Linked DNA regions of Caenorhabditis elegans. The protein of the gene in region 2 purifies or fractionates together with the protein of the main gene of each other region. This does not show direct contact. Each region holds a gene or a part of one and is shown on either strand. Other genes may lie near its edges.

Region 1 (8,464 bases), 4.8 Mb from region 2:
CTTTTTGCGTGGCGCTGTCGAATTTTTGAATTCCGATTGGCAGTTCGATGTATTGCTCGCAGAGCTCTTCATCCGACGGGCTTCCCGATTGCCACGTCAGTGCGTCGGTCAGCGCCACGTGGAATTGCGTCTCGTACGTGGCGATGAGATTTTCGTAGTAGACGATTCCGTTGAGCAGCAATTTTTGAGTGACGGCACGAATTAGACGAGCATCTGGAGCAGCTGAATTGGAGCCCGTACGTAGAGATTCGATGCACTGGAAAATTTATTGATTTATTGATTTTTTATCGATTTTTCAGTGGGAAATTTGAAAATTTTATCGATTTTTAAATAATTTGGAAATTTAAAAAATTATCGAGTTTTCGGTTTAAAATTCAAAAAAATTATCGATTTTTCGGTTTAAAATTCAAAAAAAATTATCGATTTTCGGTTTAAAATTCAAAAAAAATTATCGATTTTTCAGTGGGAAATTTTAAAAATTTCTCGATTTTTTAGTGAGAATTTTTCAAATTGATTTTTCGTCGAAAATTTGATTTTTTTTTTCATTTTTCTTCTTTAAAACCATCAAAATTGGCAGGAAAACCAGAAATTTCAAATTTTTCGAATAAAAAAAATGCAAGTACGCTCTATTGGACACTTTATCGATTTTCCAGTAATTTTCACTCAAATTATCGATTTTTTGTTGTAAAAACCTTATAAAATGCTTGTCGAAACAATTTCTGCTCGAGACCTGCCGTAAATGAGTAGATGACGTCATGAATGATGACTTGCGAGTAGATATTAGCCAATTCCATGCTGAAAATATCGATTTTTCGAGGTAAAAAATCGATAAATCAATTTTTTCTTTGATCTACCTAATTTCAGCCATTTTTTCAGCGGATTTCAGGTCGCGCTTCTTAACGGGCGCTGATAATTTCTCGATTTTTTCGCTAATCTGGAAAAAAAATCGATTTTTTTTTGGGTTTGCCGGCGGCGGTAAAATCACTTCTCTAATCTGTTTTCCCTCATTACGATCGATATCTTCCTGTCTTCGCCGGTTAATTTCAGCTCGGTTAGCCATTTCTGACTGGTTTTGGCTGAAAATATCGATTTTTATAAAATTCAAAAAAACATTTTTTTTTGAAAAATCCAAAAAAAAAATTGTTTTTCACCAAAAAATATTAGAAACCCAAAGCAAATTTACGGTTAGCGAAAAATGTATAGCAAACAGAGGATATTATTGATTTTTATTAAAAATTTCCAAATTATTAGAAAAAAAATTCGGAAAAAAAGACAGAAATAAAAACAGATCAAAAAGGCAGTAGATCACACAGAGATTAGTTGTTGGAATGGACAATTGATTAGAAATGTGAGAATAATTATTAATTGGAGATCCCAGAGGACACTGGTTGGGGGGTAAAAAAGGGGGTAAAGCGGTAGAAAATCGTAAAAAATCAGTGCATTTTCAGTTCACCTGCGCTTTTGGTAGGTTCTCGGCTTTTCTTCGGATGATTGGCGGTTTCCTGAACAAAAAATATTGATTATTTGATAAGAAATTGAGCCGAAAAACGGAGAAAATCAGTTCGAAATTCGATTTTCGCTCTCAAAAAGTTGCGGTGCGGTGGGGCGCACTTGCATTTTTAGGGGTTCTAGAAGGGTTTCAGTCGGTTTTCAGTCAATTTTCAGCACTTTTTGAAGAAGAATATTAAAATAAGCCGATTTGAAATCAAAGAAAGATCGAAAAGTCGGAAAAAAATTCGAAAATCTCAACTTCCCGCAAAAAACTATTCCGAAAATAGATGAAAAATCACAAATTTGCCGATTTTTCAGAAATTTTCGTTAAGAAGTAGAAAAAATAACCGGATTCAAGGCTTAAAATTCAAAAATTTCCAGAAAAAATCGCAGAAAATTCAATTTTTCTTGAAATTATCGATTTTTCACAGTGGGGCGCGTTTGCACTTTTTATTTAAAAAAAATTCAATTTTTTGTGCTAAACCGCACTTGTGTAGATAAAATCAGAATTTTTATCCAAATTCTACTATTTCGATAAATAAAAGACATTCAAAATAGAGGACAATGCAAGTGCGTTCCACTGATAAAACGCAGAATTTTATCGATTTTTTCAGCTTTTCCGTGATTATTCCTCTATTTTTTACACTGAAACTGGCTGAAAAATTTCCAAAATTCCCAAAAAAACTCACGATTTCCCCCGGCTTCCGTCCCATTCTGCGAGCGCTGCACAATCTGAATTCTCCCAGCAAGACGTCCCGACGACATATGGTTCTCCAGCGTTCCATGATACTCCGAAGCATCATCATCCCGATCGTCATGCTCACCGCGGTACCGTCTCGGCTCTTTCGGCTTCTTCTCCACGGCGGCGTCTCTTCGTTTCGGATGGTTCTCGTCGTTGGCTCCACGTGTTCTCTGGTACAGAACACGTGGATTATAAGAGTTGCCGCTTCGCACAGAAGTCGGAGTTCTCTCACCACTTTTGAGCTCTTCCTCGGCTTCTTCTTCCTCTTTTTCCTCGGCGATACTTCCACCGAACGAGCTTTCTCTGTCGGATTCATCGGGATGGTACCGACTGTTGCCTCCACCTCTTCGATTATTCCTTCGGTTATTTCTCCTCGGAGACGCCGCTTTCTGAGCTTCCTGAGCAGCAGCTTCTTGAAGCTTCTGCTCCATCCGTCGCTCTTCCTCTTCCTCCTGCTCTTTCTGCATTGCAAACTCATTTTCCACCTCTTTACTCCAATCCATCGACGCGAAATTCTGCAGGTTCTGGCACATTTCCTCGAAACTGAACGCCTCGCCAAGGGAATTCATCGAGAAATTCGATGAGGCTCCACACTGAGATGCCGAGTCGAATGAGGTGTCAATGTGAAGTTGAGCACCGGTTTGAGGTGGCATTTCTGATTGGGTAGAGTTGATGGAATCGTTGCGTTGGCGACGGGATCCTTGAGGACGTCGGGCGATGGCGCCGTCCCCGCGCATGGAAGCTCGCTCGTTGAAGCCGCGGGTCTGGAAATTGAAAAGATTTAGCTTTAAAAGTTTGGTTGTTTGAACAAAAAAAGCTTTAGCTCAAAAAATATTTGATACGCAATTTTGTAAATGCGCGTCGTGTTTGCGTACTTGACTATCGTACTCAATGGTGATTTCCGCAAAAATTTATGTTTTTTTTCGAGAACGGACAATTTTCTAAGGTTGTTCAGAGTTTTACAATTCGAAACGGTATCATGCCTTCTTAAGGCGGTATTAAACGTAATTCTAAGTTCAGATTGTCAAATTTCTCAAATTCTGACAGTTTTCACCAGTAAAAACCTCGAATTTGTATGGAAAACTGTCCAGATTGATAAAATCTCTAGCTTTCTGTACTAGACGTGAATTTTCTTGAAGTGGGCTAATTTCTAAAGCTTTTCTCAGCTGTTTGGTACAATTTCTACTAAGTTTTACAGTTTTAGACTAGAATTTGAGCGATTTATCTCTTTTTCCCCAAAATTTCTTTTTTCCTAAAGTTTCCATATTCCCATCATACCTTACTGATCACTTCACATCCCACACATCCCATTAATTCTAATTAATTCACCCCTTCTCCCCCCCAGACACTTCCATTAAGAAAACCTGATAACCTACATAATGATTTCCGCCGGGTCGTTCGAACGGTTGCCGATGCTGCTGATGCTGCTGGTTACTGTATCTCCCATTATTCCGGTGATTCGATCGGTGGTTGCCCTGGTACTCCATATAGCCACCATGTTGCCGTGTGTCGTAGAGGGATTGTGTGGAATTCTGGAATTGGAATGGTTTTCGTGGGATTTGGGACATTTGTAGGGGTGTGCAACTTTTCAGTCAATTTCAGACTTTTGTCTAGTTCTGGGGATTTGAGTTCAATCTTGAGCAATTCTTAGCTTTTTTCCTGGAGTCTTCGAGACAAAATATAAGTTTTCAGCCAGTTTGAAGTTGGGTTCAGTCGGGTTTCATGAGAATTTGAGACCTTTTCCAGCTAAATTCCAGAGCCAAAATACGTGATCTCACGTGGTGTCAGAGTCTCCAATTTTGGCTTGATCTACGTAGTTCTACAAAAATTGCGGGAAAAGAGACGCAGAGTTCTCATTTGATTTCGCATTGTTAAGAACGTGCTGGCGTCACATTTTTTGGCCAAAAAATTCCCGCATTTTTGTAGATCAAACCGTTATGGGGCAACTTGATACCACGTGATTTCTCAAATTTTGAGGATTTTGAGTTACCTTCAGCCGTTCCACAGTGGCTTTAGAGTTAAATATTTGGATTTTTGGCGTTTTTGGGGATTTTCAGCCAACTAAGGTATTTTCTCGTGCTAATAATGAGTTTTTAAACAATTTTTGAGGGTTTTCAGTCAATTTCAGCTACTTCATAGTGAAGACTTTGGGTTTCGAGAGATTTACTGAAAATTTTTGGCTTTTCCCGTAAAAATATCAGTTTTGCCATAGATTTTAAGATTTTCCGTTAATTCAAGTCGTTTTCTAGTGCTTTTAAGGTATTTTGAGACATTTTCAGCTGAATTTGGGGCTTTTATCATGCTAAAATATTAGTTTTTCAAAATTTGCTGAGGGTGGTGTCAGGATGTCCCATCACGGTTTGATCTACGAAAAATACGGGAATTTTTATTACCAAAAATGTGGCGCCAGCACGTTCTTAACCATGCAAAATTAGTTGAGAACTCTGCGTCTCAACTCCCGCATTTTTTGTAGATCCACGAAGATCACGTCAAAATGAGGCACTCTGACACCGTTTCCCCGTGCTAGATAATGAATTTTTCCAAAATTTTTTGAGGGTTTTAGGTAATTTCAGTTTTTTTCTGTAGTGTTAGGGTAGAACTTTTGGTTTTTGAGCGATAAGATAAAAACTTACATAATTCGATGGCCCATCTGTTCTCTGTTGTTGTCGATAGCCTTTCTCAAATCGATTCCTTCCTCCACCTCGCTCATTCATGGCATTAATCACATTTGCATCGGGCGTCGTACTTCCAGATCCACCACGTGACGTCACACTGTCCGTATCGTTGCTTCTTCGTCTGGAATTGCCCGACATCGTCGTCGTTGTTGTGTTCAACTTCTCCGGGCGTGGTGGTCGTGCTTCTTCGTTCGTAGAGCTCAAGCTTTTCGTGCTCCCTCCCTGGCGGAGCATTCCTGGACGGTAGATTTGAATTTCTGGGCGCGGTTTTCGTGGAGCTCCCGTCCTAGATGACGAGGCGTCTGTGTCTCCGTTCATTTTGCTTGGTGAGCTGGAAATTTGGAATTTTGAGATATATCATAAAAGAGAAGCATGTAACATACAAAAAAAGGAAAATACAGATTCAGGCATGCCTACCTGCCTGCCTACCTACGCTATAAAACTGCAAAAGTTCAGGAGAAAAAGCTATAATTGAAGAGAAAGCACGCGGTGTCAAAGTGTCTCATTTCGGCTTGATCTACGTAGATCTACAAAAAATGCGGGAGAAGAGGCGCAGAGTTCTCAACTGATTTTGTATGGTTTCACATTTTTCTGGGCAAAAAAAACCGCATTTTTTTGTAGATCAAACCGTAATGGGACAGCCTGGCACCACGTGAGAACGGAGTTGGAGCAAAAAAATTTAATTAAGAAAAGGTGTTGACAGCGGGCTTTACGAGGGGATGAGCAGAGGATAAACAGATTTTTTCGCAAAAATTCGTCATTCCTCTAGATTTTAGACGGGATTTTGCATTTTCTAAAGCTGTGGGTGTTGGAAAACCGAAAACCGCCGTTGAAAATAGCTAAAAATCCGTGGGAATCTCCAAAAAAGCGTTGAAAACTTCAATTTTGTACCTAGAAATCCAGGAAAAAGCTGAAAATTGGTGTGATGTCAGAATGCCCCATATCGGTTTGATCTACGTAGATCTACAAAAAATGCGCGAATTTAGCCGCAGACTTCTCAACTGATTTCGCATGGTTAACACTGTGCTGACATCACATTTTTTGGGGAAAAAAATTCCCGCATTTTTGTAGATCACACCGTTACAACCTACCACACCACGTGGGAAAACTCATAGGTTCGACGAGAAACTTTTTGGTTAAAACTTTAAAAAATGTCATATTTTTAGGCTGAAACTAATATGAATAGTTAAAACCAAGCTATTAAGTTCTGAAAACCATACTTTATATAAATTAAGGGCCTTTTGGGTCTGGAAATTCGGATTTTTTGAGATTTTCCCTCCCAAGAATACTAGTAAACCCTAAATTTCTCCGATATCACAAGATCGCTACTTTTATTTCGATTTTCGCAAAGTAACAAAAAAAAAGTTTTATGTAACTTTTATGTCCCCCCACCACCAAACGTTTTCCTGTTCCGAAATGCAAACACATACAACACAGTGAAACAATTCTTATCACTGGTGGAGCGGGTACCTTCTGTTAAGCTAAACAGAACATACACGTCGGCGGGGTGGGGGGAGGGAAGGGGTAATTGTTTGATTAGCCACCCATCAAATAGAGACATGGGAAAGTACATGGGGGGTAACAATGGAATTTTCGGTATCGATTTCTAATTGGGGAAGACTCTAGTAGAGGCTCATTGGAAATTGGGAATTAAATAGCGTTTATAACCGAAATTTGAAATAAAAAATTCAAGAATATGGTAGTTTTCAAAGTAACGTTTCTAATTGGGATTTTAAACAAAAGTACAAAAGTACTACTAAAACGAAATTTGACAATTCTTTTTGCTCAAAAATTAAATTTCGTCATTTTTTAAAATTATATATATATATGTGTGTTGTAATTAATTACAATGCTCAAAAATGCAGCAATTTTTCAAATTTGAGCAATAAATGTTGTCAATTTACGTTCTTTTTCGATTAATATAGTAATTAAAGTAAGCTTTTTCAGCCTACTACAGCCTATTTGGACTAAAAAAAAACGGACCTCACAGAAATGATATATTTACTGATTTTTTCTCCCTCAGAGAGCAGTATAAACACACACGTGCATTGTAACAAAAAAACAGGGAACGAAAAGAAAAGAGTGAATGGGAAGAGAGAAAGAGAAAATGTGTGATATGAATTGGGCAGAGAAAAGGGATGACGGCTGGAGACGCTGAGAGGAGGGTGGGGTACGCAATTGTGCGTCGAGGGGGGAGGGGGTGTAATTGCGGACTATGGGAAGATGAGTATGACCTTTGGCGGAGAAGAAGAGGACCGTGGGAATGGAAGGGGTTCGCTGTGGAGGTTTTTTAGAATGTTAGACGTTATCAGCGATGTTAGAAATTAAAATAAGTATTAGGGTGAGCAATAAGTTTTTTCGTCTTTTCTCAGTTTTCATCCTTTCTCAAATATTTTGTATGTGGTACATAGTGTGGTACAAGCCTTCGGGAGCTTCCTGGGTTATCGGTGAATTTTGGGCGGTCGTTGTTGGGTGCCGCATGTCTTCGACCCTCGCTAAGTGTGAGGGAGCCGGGTAAAACCGCACGTTCGAACGTTGTAAGCCCAACTCTCCAGTACTCCTTCCTGAAGGAGTCTTGGTTTGTCTGCTGAGTGATGGCGTTTTCGGGTTCTGAGAGGTTCACTGTTTCCTCTCTGACTGATGCTATCATGGTGCCTGCCTGGGGTAGGCTAGGCCTGCCTGGGGTAGGCTAGGCCTGCCTGAGGTAGGCTAGGCCTGCCTGGGGTAGGCTAGGCCTGCCTGGGGTAGGCTAGGCCTGCCTGGGGTAGGCTAGGCCTGCCTGGGGTAGGCTAGGCCTGCCTGGGGTAGGCTATGCCTGCCTGGGGTAGGCTAGGCTGCCTGGGGCAGGCTAGGCCTGTCTGGGGTAGGCTAGGCCTGTCTGGGGTAGGCTAGGCCTGTCTGGGGTAGGCTGAGTCTGCCTGGGGTAGGCTGGGTCTGCCTGGGGTAGGCTGGGTCTACCTGGGGTAGGCTGGGTCTGCCTGGGGTAGGCTGGGTCTGCCTGGGGTAGGCTGGGTCTGCCTGGGGTAGGCTGGGTCTGCCTGGAGTAGGCTGGGTCTGCCTGGGGTAGGCTGGGTCTGCCTGGGGTAGGCTGGGTCTGCCTGGGGTAGGCTGGGTCTGCCTGGGGTAGGCTGGGTCTGCCTGGGGTAGGCTGGGTCTGCCTGGGGTAGGCTGGGTCTGCCTGGGGTAGGCTGGGTCTGCCTGGGGTAGGCTGGGTCTGCCTGGGTAGGCTGGGTCTGCCTGGAGTAGGCTGGGTCTGCCTGGGGTAGGCTGGGTCTGCCTGGGGTAGGCTGGGTCTGCCTGGGGTAGGCTGGGTCTGCCTGGGGTAGGCTGGGTCTGCCTGGAGTAGGCTGGGTCTGCCTGGGGTAGGCTGGGTCTGCCTGGGGTAGGCTGGGTCTGCCTGGGGTAGGCTGGGTCTGCCTGGGGTAGGCTGGGTCTGCCTGGGGTAGGCTGGGTCTGCCTGGGGTAGGCTGGGTCCAGCCATTTCCAATTCCAACCATTTGTGAAAAAAGTATTAAAAATACATTTAAAAAACAAAAAATCTTTAAATAATCCGAGA
Region 2 (8,744 bases):
TTTTTGCGGTTTTTTCTGGAATACATTTTTTGTTGAAAAACAGTGATAAAACCTGAAAACTGAGGTTACTGTAGTCGTTAATGGTCCACACAGAAATCATAAACTGAAACAAATAAATATTTAAAAACTAAAATTTTCATCGGTCAAGTTGGTGTCGATGGGGGGCTTCTCAGATAACCCACCGACTCCGGACCGTATTGAAAGTGATCATTCAACATCTGCTTATATACAAACATTCTCCCAAGCGACCGACTTTTTGCGCTGAATTTCATAATTTCCTTTTTCCTTTCGTCTCTGTGTCTACAACCATGCAAGTACTGGAAAAATGTCTGGCGCTGGGAGAGTATGTGGTATATAAACAACCAAGAGAAGACAACTTTCAATTCGGTCCGGAGTCAATGGGTTATCTTTCAAAACCCCCCATTGACAACAACTTGACCGGCGTTTTTTGCAATTTTGTATATTATTAGGACTCAAATATCAAAACAAAACATTTTCAGTGTCACGAATCAAAAAGCATCTACGAATTTGCTCGTAGATTTTGATCTCTCATGTTCTCATTGGTTTTTTCAAGAATTTGGATTGACAATTTTCACGATTGGAGCAGTGATTGCAGTGCCTTTTATGTCAATGTTAGCTGATAGATATGGAAGAAAACCAATTATTGTGACAACAGCAATTCTGGCTTTTTTGGCAAACATGGCTGCATCCTTTAGTCCAAATTTTGCAATTTTTCTAATTCTGAGAGCATTTATTGGAGCTTGTAGTGATGTGAGCTTCATCTTTTGAAGATCTAAAACAACTGAACATATCAATTTCAGTCGTATCTTTCTGTTGCAAGTGTTGCCACATGTGAATACTTGTCTGAAAAGGCAAGAGCCTGGATTACGGTAGTCTACAACGTGGCATGGTCTCTTGGTATGGTATGGACACTTTTGGTAACTCTGATGACTGATGACTGGCGATGGAGATATTTTATTGTATCATTACCCGGTGTTTATGGTTTTGCTTTATGGTATTTCTTACCCGAGAGTCCTCACTGGCTGATAACGAAGAATAAAACCGAAAAGTTGAAAAAGTACATTAAAACTGCAAATAGGTGGGCTCTAGTTAAGAATATAGAAGTATTCTAATAACGTTTTTAGAGTGAATAACGTATCACCTGAATTCAATGATTGCCAACAAAGTTCACATCATGAGGAAAAACATGAATCGTTCAAAGCCTTGCTGGGGAGTAAAAAATTGATTTGGCTCCTTTTTGCAAACGGATTTATCGAGTAAGTTGGGAAACTATAAAAAGCCAATAAATGGGCCGGTCTATTGTGGTTATTTATTAGGTGACTTCTGTTCAAGATAATGTCGGGAGCTCCATAATACATTATGACTAGGGATGTAGGCATGTAGGTAGATATGTAGGTATGTCTCATGAGCATTTATACTGTCTTTATGCATGGCTACTTGTTTTTCTGTACACTACGATTTTAGATTAACTTTATCTAAAGAATTCAAAAGTTCGCAAGTCTGGTTTTCCAATTTATTTAGAAAAAACTGATCCATTTTGTCGTTCTCCCAATTTTAATTATTCAGAATGGTGATTTCCCTGGTCTATTTTGCAATTTCCTTTATGTCCGTTGAGCTTGGCGGTGATCAGGTCCAGGCATTCCTCTATTCATCTTTGATTGAGATTCCAGGTGAACTGTTTCAGAAATCCTGGAATTTCCATCAATTCTTCTACTTTCAGCTGGTCTTGCCGTAATTCCATTAATGATGAAAATGGGTCGAAAGATGATTGTCATTTGGTGCCTTGTATTTCAAACTCTTGCTCTTATTGGAGTTACAGTATTTCTTGATTCTTATGAATTTAAGCTTGTCATCATGCTTGTAGCAAAAGTTATGGCCACGTGAGTTTCTTGCGTTATTTATAGATCAAATTTTTCAAGCCAAAAAGTATTTTTCATTAAAAATAACGTAATTTATTGTATTAGTAGAAATTTCCATGAAAATCCTATCAAAATTGACGAAATTCAGTATCAAGTGGTCAGCAAGTCGCTACTCAGCCAATTACCAAACTGTTATAACTATGTTTAAAGTGATTGTAGAGTTTTAGTTTAAGAGACAAAGTTGTAGAACATAACATTTGACATGACATGAAATATGTAATAAGTTTGATACAAATACTGAACATTGTCTCCAGATAAGGTCCTCAAATGGCTTCGTATCACATTCTAACCTATACCGTTCAAAGCATAATTTGAATCTACAAGTATTTCTAACCAAATTTATGAAATGCACCGAGGAATAGCAAATACGGTTTCTAGCATATTTTCAGAATAATATACTCTGTTCATCCAATCTGGGCAACTGAACAATTCCCAACATCTGTAAGATCACTGTGTTTCTCATTGATGAACATTCCACAAAGTATGGGAATAATAATGTCACCATATGTCAAACATATTGTAAGTCTCGAGAGAATTCAAAGAATTACTCAACATTGTTCAGGTTATGTCACCAAACTGGATTCCATTTGTGGTCATTGCGCTTTTCAGTTTCATTTCTGCAACGTTGGCATTCATGTTGCATGAGACAAAGGTTAGTTGGTGATTTTTGAAACAAAAATATACATTTCTATTCAGAACAAAAAGTTGCCTACCGACATTGAAAGTCTCTCTTATCCATCGGAAACGAATGATTTGTCAGCGTATCGTAGAAGCAAATCATCATCTTCCTCGGTGTCAGCATTGTCGAAAACAAGTGTTCGATCAAAGAAGACGTTGTCAAGTGAAAGTGTCAGCAAGAAACTTGATACTGTTAACTTTTCTGACAAAGAATACAGAATATAAGAATAAACACATTTCTTCCCGAAACAACTTGTATAATATGTTCACTTCTTTTTTTCCGAAGAATTCAACTAATTTTAGAAGAATGAGAGAACCGAAATGCCAAATTCGAGATATGATAAATACCATGGAACCTACAGTACTCCACAAAATTGTAATCCCTTTTTCCGACGACACTCCGTTCTTACGCAACGCATGCTGTTTATCGTAAATCAGCATCCACGTTTTTACACTGAATTTTTAAATTCAATTTATTTTCAAAACGATTGTTGCAATAATTATAATTTAGCCATGACAATTCATCATCATGGTTCTGCTGAACGTAAATCAATAGATGATTATTCGGATATACCACGAGGAGAAGCATGCAAGCAGCTTGTGGAACAGCTCAACCGAAATTTATACTCTTTGAATTCCAATATGCAGACAACCTTCAAACAAATGGTACATGTGGAAACACGGTTTGAAAAAGCATTCAAGATTAGATATAAATTGTTTTTTTTCAGAATTGGACATGAAATCTCTCTTTTGTCTTCGTGCCTTCAAGAAAATATGTCGAAATGTACAATGCCATATGCGCCACACGAAGAACAACTCGTTCAATTAGATTCTGCAAAAAGAAACTTAAAACAATTGACTCGATTACTAGATGCTCGTCAGATATTTGATGCAGAAGACAGTCAATCTGAAAAGTTAAAGGACAGGGCAATTGATGATTCGTTGCTTCCGACATTGGTGGCAATTGGAGATAATTTAAAAATTATCAAAGAGGTTTTCTGGTTTTCTTTAATCATAGCATTCTAATAATGCATATTATTCAGCTCGGCGCTAAGCCAAAGTTCGATGCTGAGACTTATCACAAAACAAAGGATCGCTATTTAGCATGGAAAGGAACTGAGTTTGCTGTGAAGTTCGACACTCCTGGAGGGCTTGATGATATTTTCGATGCATTTACAACTTTGAATTCTGTCAATGGTACATTTTAATCTTTAAAAAATCTGATAATTTTCAAAATCTAAAACCTTTAAAAATTATTATTCAGATTTCTACCGTCTCTACCAGCATCATTTCGATCAATCTCTAAACAACTTGAATAAAAACTCAGGAATTGAAGATGAAAAGTCGTTAAAAGAAATGGGAACTGTTTTTGTAACCAAAGCTGCGGAACATTTCAGAACTCATATTGGGTAGTTAATTTCCGAAATGTTTCTTTACGTTAAAATTACATTTTAGTTCGTTGTGCAAATATTGTGATGAAAACGAAGCATTCACTAGACTTCTTGATGCTTGGAAAAATTACATTAAAAATGGAACTTTGGAGAAGCTTTTTGAACAATCTATGGAGAACTATAACAATTATGATTTGCTTTCAGACTTGAAATCTGTAAGTTGTAAAACTGAAAATGTATAACCTCAAAAATAGTTTATTCTTACAGGTAGTTACAAAAGCATACGAAGAGTTTGAAACAAACACAGCTGGAGGACCAGAAGACGACGAAGAGTCCATTGAAAATATTGAGAGAATAATTGTAGATGGTCTGATGGAAAGTGCGAAGAAACCATTATCTGAAAAGCTCCGATCGATGGTTGAGCCACCACCATTGAATTTTGTTAGTAAATCATAATTTTATTGAGCAATAATTTTATAAACTAATTTCAGAGATCAGTAGCTGAAGTGATGTCATCTCTTGAAAACTTTGCCTACTTGCTGCGAGAGATTTCTCATCAACTTCTGGAAATCTATTTAGAGGATGAAGGCCGAGAGTTCATGATTTCTATTTTGAAACCAATATTCACGGATTACACAATGCGATTATGTCGAATGGAAGATAATTCGACTCCAAAAGTTAAATTGGAAGAATATCTCGAAAGAATTGCGTTGGCTGGACAACTATCAACGATTGTAGAAGAGTACAAAGATCAAACTGAAATTAAAAATGGATTGGAGTTGAAGAATGCGAAGAAATGGATGAATGAGAGAGTGAAGGATGCAATCCGTGCCAGTCATCGATTTGTGACAGATAAGATGCCTAACCACGGAGTAAGTACTGTGATTGGTTTATTTCAAACAAATTTTTTTATTTTTTGATCCTTGAAAGAAATTTATTCCATTTTCAGAGTGAGACTTACAAGGAAAGCGCCGACATGGCAAAATCTGCACTTCCAACTCCTCAAGATTTTGTGGTCACAGCTACACAGGTATGTATTTTTAAAATAGGTTTTTTTTTTTAAATTCAACTATTAAAAATTCAGAATCTTCTACATCTTCTCCGTTTCTGGGAAGAAGCATTGGCAAACGAGAATACAAAAGTCGCACTGATAGCGCATGTTATGGATATTAATAAAGGTATTTTAAAATTTTTTAGTTTTTTTTTCAAAAAAACAATGTTCTAGAATCTCTGGAAACTCCTGATGACGACGCCATCTTTGCGGCAATTCTTGATAGGATTGCGAGTCATGTGGTCAAAAAGCTTCTGCAATCTATCAACGATGTCTGGTTGACTGATGGAAAAACAGCTACACTTTCGAAGGGACTCGTTAAAGAATTCCTATGTGACGCTGAATATCTTCGTGATGCCCTTGTTGATTTGCGAGCGGGAACCCATGATAATCTTGATTCGACGATCAATAAACTCCGGGAGCAGCTGAAGACGATGTCGTAATTTGAGTTTTCATCTGAATTTCTATTAGACTAACCGGGTTGTATTTATTGTATTTAATTATGGTTTTTTGTTTTTGGATGTGATATGAAACAATTTATTGCAAAAATAAAATCTTTGGTTCGAGATGTCTTTGGCTCATTAAAAATGCCGGGATATTCAAAGTTTGGAATGTATCAAGGTTTCACGGGATATGTCTTTAAAAGCTGACTCAGAAAATGATATTCAACATGAAGGGTGCGATATAAACTATTTTCAAAAGTAAAACAAAATCTCAATCACTATCGTCTCCACCCAGCATCGGAGCAGTGTCATCGCGTAGGCCGTCGACGGGGAATCTCAAAATCTTCCGCTTTTGTTTCTCAACGAAAAGCATGGTACACGAGCAAACTGTAGAGATAACCAGAATGGATATTATAACTGAAAATTTACAATATGAATCTAGAATTAAAAAATAAAAGACTCGCCTAAATAAATAAATTGGAAGCTTGTTTTCAGACCGCATTCGGCTTCCCAATCCTCTGGAAAGTATTTTTTAAGATCATCTCCGAGCTTTTGGAGTGTGCATGGATCATCACAACCAGGAATCGAATATTCGATAAGCCGATCAATATCTGTCTCATTTTTATGAAAAACTCGTATCAAGCGAGTTTCGTTCGCGAGTTTGTGCATTTCGATGAGCAAACATGTTGCATATTTTGGATAAATATCGTAGAACACTCCAAGTGTCGCGAGAAGAGCTGCGATTGTTGAATCGTGCTGAAATTTTTTTTGTTTGAAAATGTTTTCAAAAAGTATTTACCGCAGAATACGCGTAAAACTTTGCTTCTTTTCCTAGTGATCCAGAAGCTTTATCACTAAATCGATGAAATATTTCCTCGAGAAGGGTCCCACCACGAAGACGTCGAAGAGTATCTGTATGGAATTCCAACTGAGATACTTCATTGTACAGTTGATCAACTCGTTCGAATATACTCGAGTTCATCCATGATGGCCATGTTATGTTGTTTTGTTTCTAAATTAATCCTTTTACAATAAGATTTTCAGTGATATAACATTTTTTGATTTAAGAATTTTTTGATTTTTCTGCGAAAGCTTTTGATTGAGAAGAATATATCCAAACTAAAAGTTAAAACCAAAAGTACGGTATCCGGTTTCGAAACGGAATTTTTTGTAAAATTCGAAGCGCCTTTAAAAAGTCGTGTCGAGACCAGGTACCGTATTGTTAGCGCAAAAAAAAGAATTTCGATTAAATTAAATACCTCACAAAACAAATTATCAAATATCCTCCAGGTAGCCTTTAGCTCCATATTTGGCAAATTAAGCTTTTGGGAGAAAAAGCTTAATTCTCGTGCGAACTTCTTTCGAATTCCATTAGCTTTAGTTGATTTCCATTGTGCATTCATCTCAATTTCAGCAGTCGGACAACTTGCTTCTTCGTAGAGTTCCTGAAATGTTTATTATTTTTTTGAATTTTAAATTTTTAGGCAATTACTTTGTCTGTTGGTTTCGATATCGTATGAACAGGAATTGGCTGCCACATTAATCCTCCAGCGATTGGATATTTCGGTGGGAATAGTCCTGCCATATTCGCTTGAGCCGACATTAATGTTCTATTGTAATCAGAACTACGAATATAAATCTGCAAATTTGATTTTTTTAAAAACATTTCAGAGTTTTTTAATTTCGAAAATAAAAGCATACAGCATTTCTATTGAACTTTTCCCCGAGCCACGAGCCATATCGCCTTTTGAGCCATTGACCCAGACGATATTGTTGGGCTGAAAAATATTAAAATTTTGCTGAATTTCTAATAAAAAGTTCAATAGTACCTGCTCCTTGCTCGGTCAACTCCCCCAATCCCTCAGGCCATTTCGTGATGTCATCCGGAAAGAGAAGCTCCGCCGGAGTCCGATCCCCATGTCTCCATACAGTGTGCACATATTCCAGGGTGTCCGTATTTGCTTGAATTGGAACTTCTTTATACACTACTGCATTGATTCCTGATGCTCCGATAAGGAGCACGAGAAGGAGAAGCATGGATGGCTGAACTTTAGAGAAATGTTTTTTTTTAATTCGGAACTGTGAAGTAAGAATTTCGAAAAGGCTATAATCCTGTGAAAATAAATTCCAAATTTAAAAACAGTATTCTAAGACGAATTCATTGGGTTTCACTTAAATTTGAAAAAAAAATTAAATAATAAAATACATCGGAACAGAGACATGGGGAAAAGAAGACAAATCTGATATATTCAAAAAAAAAAGAGAAAAATTGATAAAACATTGACGGCTTTTGGCACCATTTTGTGCGTGATTGGTGATTGGACTGTGAATGATTTGTTCTAAATAAGTCCTAACGGGAATGATTTTTTCAAGGAAAAATGTGAAGAAAAAAGTTTTGAAAGTTGAGCGAGAATTTACAAACAAAGAGAGACAGGAAAGGAAATTGTGGGAGAGAAGTATGAAGCAACTAGCAATCAAATGTGGAGACTAGTCGGAATGGTGGAAACTTGGGAATTTCTGTGAAAAGTCAAGAATTTCCATACATGAATATTGGCGAGCTAAAGAGAGAACCACAGAAACTCAAAGGGAGAAAATTTCCAAGAAATACCGAGAAGCAAACTAAATATAGAATTGTGATTGAAAGCAAATTTCAACGCAATTCGAGAGTATGAATATCAATAATTTAGACGTAATTGCAGCATTTGTTCATCTTTCGAGCCGATGTGTAGAACATTTTTGATTGATCCGACAGGTTCTCACTCTTTTTCACTAAATCATCCAGCTTCTCACCACGATCAAGCACCGATTGAATCGTATTATGCATCACCATTTTCGTCTCTTCTACTTCTTCTTGAACTCGAGTCATTGGATCGGCTTCACGTGGATTTTGCCATTTTTCGAGAAGATCCTTCAAACCTGTGTATGAACAATCCTTGTCGCTTCGGATTCCAGGCTGAAAATTGGATACTTTACGATATTTAGGAAAATGATCAGAATCGAGCGTGTGGATTTTTCAATTTTTTCTAAGATCGTTAATTGTATGTTTTTTGAATTTTGTGATTTCCGATTTGTTTTTAATATCTCGTTCCTTGGAAAAATAACTATTTTTTTCGAAAAATATTTTACAATTTTCCCCTTTTTTCTTCTTTCTAGAATTTTTTTCGAAAAATGTGACTTTCCTTGGTTTTTAATTATTTTTCCCAAATAAATTGACTCTAAAACTATAGCTCGAAATCTTCAT

Evidence for each region.
Region 1: the proteins of B0361.3 (region 2) and smg-6 fractionate together in Caenorhabditis elegans (co-fractionation; one large-scale study listed by BioGRID). This does not show direct contact.

Annotation. Positions count from the first base shown.
Region 1 is NC_003281.10:2,470,643-2,479,106, reverse strand, and holds the start of smg-6 (PIN domain-containing protein), read right to left. Parts: upstream 5,240-8,464; 5' UTR 5,227-5,239; coding exon 4,867-5,226; intron 3,766-4,866; coding exon 3,610-3,765; intron 2,998-3,609; coding exon 2,181-2,997; intron 1,503-2,180; coding exon 1,454-1,502; coding exon of another isoform or gene 1,450-1,453; exon of another isoform or gene 1,210-1,449; intron 1,077-1,209; coding exon 986-1,076; intron 935-985; coding exon 855-934; intron 796-854; coding exon 693-795; intron 257-692; coding exon 2-256; intron 1-1.
Region 2 is NC_003281.10:7,278,333-7,287,076, forward strand, and holds B0361.3 (uncharacterized protein), read left to right. Parts: upstream 1-3,129; 5' UTR 3,130-3,131; coding exon 3,132-3,301; intron 3,302-3,346; coding exon 3,347-3,611; intron 3,612-3,661; coding exon 3,662-3,815; intron 3,816-3,882; coding exon 3,883-4,027; intron 4,028-4,073; coding exon 4,074-4,224; intron 4,225-4,276; coding exon 4,277-4,450; intron 4,451-4,500; coding exon 4,501-4,881; intron 4,882-4,958; coding exon 4,959-5,039; intron 5,040-5,093; coding exon 5,094-5,187; intron 5,188-5,234; coding exon 5,235-5,503; 3' UTR 5,504-5,627; downstream 5,628-8,744. Other genes in the region: Putative transporter B0361.11, read left to right, coding at 501-771, 822-1,099, 1,146-1,277, 1,588-1,691, 1,742-1,901, 2,330-2,459, 2,503-2,592, 2,637-2,843; pho-5 (Putative acid phosphatase 5), read right to left, coding at 5,775-5,920, 5,968-6,259, 6,303-6,515, 6,763-6,948, 6,996-7,142, 7,205-7,281, 7,333-7,540; ykt-6 (synaptobrevin family protein), read right to left, coding at 8,187-8,456.